Linked DNA regions of Oryzias latipes. The protein of the gene in region 1 purifies or fractionates together with the protein of each later gene. This does not show direct contact. Links are inferred from orthologs where the notes say so. Each region holds a gene or a part of one and is shown on either strand. Other genes may lie near its edges.

The links. Proteins that work in one complex are often made in the same cells at the same time.
Region 2: the proteins of smarcc2 (region 1) and bcl7b purify together in Homo sapiens (affinity purification with mass spectrometry; 3 studies listed by BioGRID and IntAct, counting the BioPlex papers as one, with this or other methods). This does not show direct contact. The link is inferred for Oryzias latipes from reciprocal best matches to the Homo sapiens genes SMARCC2 and BCL7B.

The regions. Positions count from the first base shown.
Region 1 is NC_019863.2:4,297,108-4,300,671, forward strand, and holds part of smarcc2 (SWI/SNF complex subunit SMARCC2), read right to left. Parts: intron 3,371-3,564; coding exon 3,246-3,370; intron 2,944-3,245; coding exon 2,890-2,943; intron 1,250-2,889; coding exon of another isoform or gene 1,247-1,249; coding exon 1,209-1,246; intron 1,114-1,208; coding exon 983-1,113; intron 851-982; coding exon 779-850; intron 651-778; coding exon 537-650; intron 454-536; coding exon 300-453; intron 218-299; coding exon 101-217; intron 12-100; coding exon 1-11. UniProt on the Homo sapiens protein: Involved in transcriptional activation and repression of select genes by chromatin remodeling (alteration of DNA-nucleosome topology).
Region 2 is NC_019871.2:22,450,495-22,454,684, reverse strand, and holds the start of bcl7b (B-cell CLL/lymphoma 7 protein family member B), read right to left. Parts: upstream 2,802-4,190; 5' UTR 2,753-2,801; coding exon 2,640-2,752; intron 2,175-2,639; coding exon 2,099-2,174; intron 2,019-2,098; coding exon 1,931-2,018; intron 1,801-1,930; coding exon 1,642-1,800; intron 1,024-1,641; coding exon 920-1,023; intron 193-919; coding exon 112-192; 3' UTR 1-111. UniProt on the Homo sapiens protein: Positive regulator of apoptosis. Plays a role in the Wnt signaling pathway, negatively regulating the expression of Wnt signaling components CTNNB1 and HMGA1.

The DNA.
Region 1 (3,564 bases):
GCACTCTTGCTCTTCACACAAACATTTGTTGTCAAAATTGATTCATAATGATAAATTAAACTGATTAACAGTGCAGGGATTGTTGTAGCTGGTTTGTTACCTTCACAGAGCAAGTTTTCTTGCTGTACATGTCAGTCCGCAGCCCAAAGTTCTGCAGGTCTGTTGGCTTCTCCTTCATTTTATCAGGAAAAGACATAATTGGCTGGGGGGCAGGAGTCTGCAGGAAAACCGGGACGGAAGGAAAAAGGTCAATCGGGGTCAGGTTTCATTTGCATGAGAATGTCTGAGGATACACACACCTGGGAGGTCTTGGGCTGCAGTGGAACTAAACTGGATGGGGTGTCCGCCAGGACATGGAAGTGAGAGGTGGGTGGGGGTCCCATCGGTGTGGGCCGACTTTCAGAGTCCACTTGGTAGTTGATCAGCCCCCATTGTTCCAAAAAGGCATGGACTCTGTAGAGCAAACAAACAAAGAAGTACTGACAGCCTGTTAGCTGCTAGATGTGAGAGGAGATGTAAACAGATGCTCCACTTACCTCATGATGGCGCACACATCTCCCGCCAAGTTCCTACGGCAGGCGGTGGAGGTCAGATACTCCTGAGGGTTTAGTCTGTAGGTGTCAATCATGAAGTTTCTGTACGCCAGATAACTGACAGAACGAGACAGAGGAAGAAAACGGAGATCATCCAAAACGACACAGTGCATCAATACAACAAAGGTGAAGAAATATAGTAATCTGTTACTTTCTTTAAGGAACAGTATCTATGCAGGACTTACATCTCAGGAGTTTTGGATTTGTTCTTCCCATTGAAAAACTCAGGAAGGGCTCTGCGCTCGATGGCATGAACACTGCATCACAGAGTTTATGAAGAGCTTTGAGTTCATGTCACTATTGTAACGCTCAACTGTTGCAACATTGTATACTGAATATGATCCTGAAGATCAACTCCTGCTAAATAAGTTGAAAAGGGTCATTTGTACCTGTTGTAGTCAAACCAGGCAGCATAGCTTGGTATGATGATGTGGTGCGTTTGTTCAGTCACGTTGTCCTCGTGAAGATCTGAACTCTTCACTGGCTCCCCCTTCACACTCGGAGAGCCTTCCTCCTCTTCCTGTTGGAACAAGAACACCCGAGCTCAAACAAACACGTCTTTTCTGAATGTTTGCGTCCATGTTTTAAAAGCGCCGCTGCTGGAGGTGACAATACCTTCCCTGTGGTTTCCATGGACTCGTCCTCTTGCTCATCTGCTTAATTCAGAGTCAGTGGGAAATCGTTACCATTCAACATCCAGAAACAGTTCTTAGAAAATGAAGGAGGCTACAAGGCTACAAACTGAGAGGATGTAGGAACGTCAAGATCAAACTGATAAGAACCACAAAGAAAAGTTTCTGTGTGTGGCAACAAACTTTGGAACAAGTTAAGTAATGAGCTCAAAAAATGTTCAAATATCCAAATATTCAAGAAAAGGTATGAAGAAACTCTGATTTCACAATATGAAAATAAGAAGATTTAAGGATCAACAGCTGTTTGAATAATTCTAAATACATGTGTGAACTTGATTGTGGTGAAATAATCAAAGCTCTTTTAATTACAACCACTGAGTTTTACATTGTAATGTGTAATAATGATTAATGAAACGTTTAAATTACAATCAATAACTATTGATTTTGTTTACTTGATCTGCAATGTGCAGCAATAATTAATGGTTTAATGTCATCATGTGTTCTAATAATAATCAATGGTTATCACATATTGGTTACCGATACTGTTTACTGATATAAATAAATGAATGTTTTCTGAAGATAATCAATCATTTTGTTACTTGAAAAGACTCTATCGGATCAGAACCGGATTACAAAAACTGTAAAATGAATTAACTCAGTAGGGGTGGGATTATATAGGTTTGCTTATTCCCGCTGCTTTTCCAGCAATAAATCAAGCTATACTTATACTTTAGTTAATGATCACTGTATTTAATTAAGCAAATGTGATTTAAGTGACATTTTTGTTTTGTTTTGTTTTGTTTTATTTTCTGTCTTTTTAATCTATGCATTTCAAAATTTCTGTAATGAGTTTAAAAAATATGTGCAAATTCTTTATTGCTTTGACTACAATGCTTGAAATCAATCAATAAATCAAATCAATTCAACAGAAGAACAGCTAGTAATAATAAAACAGTTCCAAGGGGTGTGTATTGGCTACAGCAGGGGTGTCAAAGTCATTTTCACTGAGGGCCACATCAGCATAGTGGCTGTCCTCAAAGGGCCAGATATAACTTAGACATGTAACTAAATGTACTGATAAATAAATGTAACTACTCCTTAATGTTAAATAACTCATTATTTATTTATTATAACTTTTTAAAGCGACAATTACAGTTGCATAGAAACATATGTGTGCTTGTTACTCTAGCATAAATCCTTTTACATTTGATTCTGTCAGGTTAGGTTATATGGACAGTGTTTAAGTCCTAATGTATAGTTGCCCAATCCCATATTTCCAGTCAGATTCCCCTTAGATATGAATAAATATACACCAATTTTTCATTTTTATTTTAAGAAATTAAAAATTCAGGTCTCATAACAACAAAACCTGAACATTTAACTTAAGCTAATTCTCACGAGATCTGTTTTGGTGCATTATAGAGCTGCTCAAAGAGGCTCAGTGGGCGGTGCTGCCAACTAGCGGTCGGGGGCCTAAGAGGAAAAGGAGTCAGACGCTGATGGACGCTCATAAACAACTAAATAAAAATCCTCTTGACAGTATTTTAAATCAATACAAGTATCGTCAAATGAATTGTTGCGATACATCAACAAATAGAATATATTTTTCTCAACACCCCACGCAGTTGCCAGACGAATGCGTCTGCCCCCTTTACTAGACTCACCCATGTCAGTTCCTCCCTTGACTGGAGTGGAATCTGAGTCTTTCTTGGTATTATCTGCACAGAAACAGAAGGTTTTCACTAAGTAAATAGGTCCAACTCCAGGGCTTCTTCAAAGAAATCACCAGCCCCTTCAACAGGAACATCCGTGCAGTCAAGTTCTGTCAGCTTTACCAACTGTCCCACAAACACAAGGTTAGGATTTATTCGCCTTTAAGTGAAAGCTACCAAGGTGACAATCCTCCCTTTGTTCATGTTTCACCAACAGTGACTGAGTGAACGGTTGTCAGAGTGAACAATAAGGTGTGTTTTCACAGTTCCATCTTATCTAAAGTGAACAGGGATGTAAATGTGCATACTTGTCTTTGCTGCATTCCCATCTTCAGACGGTGGAACAGGTGACGTTTCATCCAGGTCCTTGGACAGATCCTCCTGTTCCTCCTCTCTCTGGCCTCGTTTAGACTTGGTGTATGGGGTTGTTGGTCTATCAGCACATACATGAAGGACAGAAGGTTATTTTGATCTATATTATAGCACGGCTAAACCCTGCAGTGTGTGTCGGGACTGGAGAAGGGTTTCGGACGCTGAATGAGAAGAGGGCTTAAGACAGGATCAGCTTTATCAAATGCATTTTTCTGTCAACATCCTTCCTTGTTCTGCATCCTAATTTCAGAGGCA
Region 2 (4,190 bases), on another chromosome or scaffold:
TACTTGCATAAACATGTAAAAAGAAACCCATCATAATTCTGAAAATGTTGTTAATTTCCCAACATCCAAGCAGGTTTCTTATGCATTACGGACAAAAAGGTGGTACAAAAGCTATCTCAGCGCTGCATTTTCCCCTTTGCAAATCCTCTTCAAAGGCGGTGCCCCCGATTCATCTACCGGTAGGTCCTCCTGCTGGACAAGAGTACAAGTTAGACATGTCAGCTTCTATTTACACCTCAAAACTTATCAGGACATAACTAACTCGACGTGAAATGGGATACAGTGTCCCCTCGTTTATCGCTGCGATAGATGAAATCCACAGAGTAGCATTACAGATGTTTCAAGGCTGGAATGCCTACTATACCACTTTACTATACCAAAGACTTTAAAAATGGGACCCAATGCCTCCCTGCTTGACACTCAACATTAAGGGGTTGGCTTGGACCACCCGAGCGCGGCTCGTCGGCAGCTCACCGCTCCCCCAGGGGATGGGTCAAATGCGGAAAACAAATTTCCCACACCTAGGTGTGTGACAGATAGTGGGACTTTATCTTTATTTTACACTTTATACTATTTTCTCAGACAGAAATGAACATTTTCCCAGTTTTTTTCTCTTGCTTAAACTCTCAAAGTTCAAACCTTCCCAGAAAAGTATGTAAAGGATCATAGACGGAAAGCAAACATCTGATCACAATTGAAGATTTGTGCCCATTTTTCAAACAGACTGCTTAGGAGATAGTGCATGGAGGAGATTGATTGACCGTTGTCAAGAGCCAATGAGGGGGCAGAACACGATACGCTGTTAGAAAGAACAACACGCAGAATTACACTCTTTTATTCCAAGCGCAATATACTAAGGGGACCACTGTATTTCATGAAGATGTGCTTGAGTTTGTCTTGGAAGCTGTCGAAGAGAAACCTGTATATCTGAAGCTCCCCGTTTGATGGCTCCAGATGAGAGAGGGTCCTCTTTAATAAGAGTAGGTGGCTCATCTGCACCTTCCTGTCCCAAATGGACTGGTTCTGCATCAAGAGAGAGAAGACACTGTGTCATTAAGTTAGGAAGAGATTTTGTTTTTATTCATTTAAAGTCATCTTCTGATCTATTTTCAGTGTTCCCAGTGGTCTTTTAATTATTATTATGCTATTTTTAGCCACACACACAAAAAAAAAAACTTGTATTGTTTCTTAGGAGAGTTTCTGCAGAGCAGCAGCAGTTCATTAGGAATTCTTCTGAGTTGTGGGCGGGACCACTGGCGCAGAGTAATTTCCCATCATCTCCTTTGTTTACACTCACTCCCAGTAGCTTACAGCCCCCTACAACCCCAACAAAACATTACAGGTGAAACTGGTGAGCAACATTGGAGCATCCAGCCAGCTTGGACAAGGAGAACAAAGGCGAACATGGATATGATTGTGGATGCATCGAAATGGAGCAGAGCAGGGAGCTTTATCCTCCACCACTTTTTTTTTTTTTATCTGCTCCTGATTCACAGTTTGAATAAAAAAATACTCAGAAATGCAGTTTTAAGCTATAATTGTTTATACATGGCCATCATCAGAAAAATGCAACAAGAACATGTTAGAAACACCAAAAACAGGATTTTAATGACAGTTCTGGACATGGTTTTATTTACATACCATCCACACTCTCCTGGCCCAGCATGGGCGGCTGGGAGTCCTCCGCTCGGAGGCTGAAGGTATGCGGGGGGCTGACCTGCTGGGAGCTGGAGTTGCTGCTGCTGTTGTCCATTTTTGGTTGATAAACGTCTGACATGAAGCTTTGATTGCTGTTGTCATCTAAGAGCAGACGTTTGGAACAATCATGAAACCCTTGGAATGGAGGATCACTTTGATCTGGTTAAATCAAACCCAATTGATCCAAGATATGAATGATAAAGAAAATGTTCTTTAGGAATCCTCAGGCTACCTGTGAAATCCAGCAAAGAGTTGGTGTTTTCCAGAACCACATCCTTCAGTCCCCTAACGTCTCCACCCGTAGATTTGGTCCGAAAGATCTGGAAAGAGGATGAAACCCATCAGGAGGATGCAGGTCGTGACACAGGTCTCTGTGTGTTTTATTGACTGAGGCTCACACCTGTTTCGTTTCAGTGACTGGAACCCACTTGAATATGCGCAGGGACGTGTCTCCAACCGTCACCCATTTCTTCTCCCTGAGGAGAAATGTACGTTGGATCATGGGGAAATCTCCTAGCAGCTGCTAGATTTCAGGGCGTCGTAATAATAATAGAGAAATGAACGCATTTATTAGTCACGCGTGTTTTCATAGTCCGGTGCAGCGGAGCTAATATCTGATCAAAACCCTCTACTTCTCCGTGCACAGCAGAATGGAGGAAATTCAATGTAACGCGTTAGTGTCTGATTTCCACAGCAATGCAGCTCTCAGGAGGCTCGCCGACTTCTCAAGCCGCCGCATGTGAAGCTGCTGGAGCCATATTGACAGCTGTCGGCGGAAAAACTCAACTAGCCCCGCCTCCTCTGTCAAACGGGCGCGCTGGTTGGTCGAAAGCCTTGTCAATCATCCAACTTTCCCGACTGAAGTTTGTTGAGCTACGCAGCAAGATATCGCGCCGCGGTCTCGATTTTCATGCCCTTTTTGCGCCGCGCAGTTTACATACCATTTGCGCACTTTCTCGATGGCCGCCAGGACCTTTTTGATGTCGTCTTTGGCCCGACTTCGGGTCTCAGCGCGGCCTGATCGTCCAGACATCTTGATCCCGTTATGATTCATCTACCGATGCATCTGAAACTTCAAGCCCCGATCCTCCCAGAGGGATAAATCTCGCGATACTTGGACCTCCTCGTTTTCTGTAATCTTGAGGTTTTGTGCTCAGTCATGTACCGATAATGTAAGTTATAGTGTGTTCGAAGTGCGTGGGATAGTTTTGAACGTTTCAGGAAATAATAAAATATGTACGAAGCCCTGTACATGGCACAAAAAAGACCAATGGTTCCCTCAAATTAATAATTTGTGGCCTCGGATTAGCTAATTAGAAATTTGTGCACACAACACCAATTTGTGCATGTAGATGTGCGTACATCATGATGTTATTTTGTAAACACAAAATGTTAATTTGTGTGTAATAAATGCTCATTTGCGCACACAAACTAGGCCTACTCATTTACGCCCACCGAGTGTTGTAAAAATACCAACTTGTGCCCACAAAATATAAATTTGTGTCCACAAATTGTGAAGACAAAATACTATTTGTGTCCACAAAGTGCGAATTTGTGCACACAAAGTAGCAGTTTATGCCCACAAATTCTCATTTGTGGGCACAAAATGCTAATAAATTGCAACTTGTGCACACAAAATACGAATTTTGAGAAGATAAGAACATGTTCATACAGAATGCTAATATGTGACCACCAAATGCCAATTTAATGCCAATTTGTTTGCTCAAAATACTCATTTGTGTCCAAAAAATTCTAATTTGTGTGCACTAAATACTAATTTTGTGTACACAGCAAACTTGTATGCACAAAATACAAATTTGGTGCAAACCAAATGCATACATTGCCCATAAAATCCTTTTTCGTGCCCACAAAATGCTAATGAAATGCTAATTTGTTTGCACAAAACTAATTTGTTCTCATAAAATGCTAAGTTGTTATAACGGAAGGCTAATTTGTGGCCACAAAACGCTACTGTCCGACTACAATTTGCCAGTTTGTACATTTGTGCAAATGCTAATTTGTGTGCAAAAAATAGTAATAAAATGCTTATTTGTACACACAAAATGCTACCTTCAAACTTGTGTACTAACCTTTTTCCTATTAATGCTACTTTGTGCCCACAACAAATGTTTAGAAAATGCTGATTTGTGGCCATGAATTACCAAAATGTGGCTTCAAAATGCTAATTTGTGCACACAAAATACAAATTCATGGCCACAAATGATTATTTTGAGGGAAGATGTTTTCTAACATGTCCAGAGCTACGTAAATATGACCCTGTTAGAAAATACACGAGGACGCGTGTTATAAATATAAATAAATATGTGTTTGTCTGTGTTCAAATATTTAAATCTACAATTAAACCTCACAGAAAACATGTCAGGTGTTTTCCCTATGACAACATGTGAGTGGCAGTCAACATGGTCACATGATAAATAAAAAGCAAGGCAGGTGGCATAATTCCAAAGGTAAGGGGTGGGGGGGTGATGTGT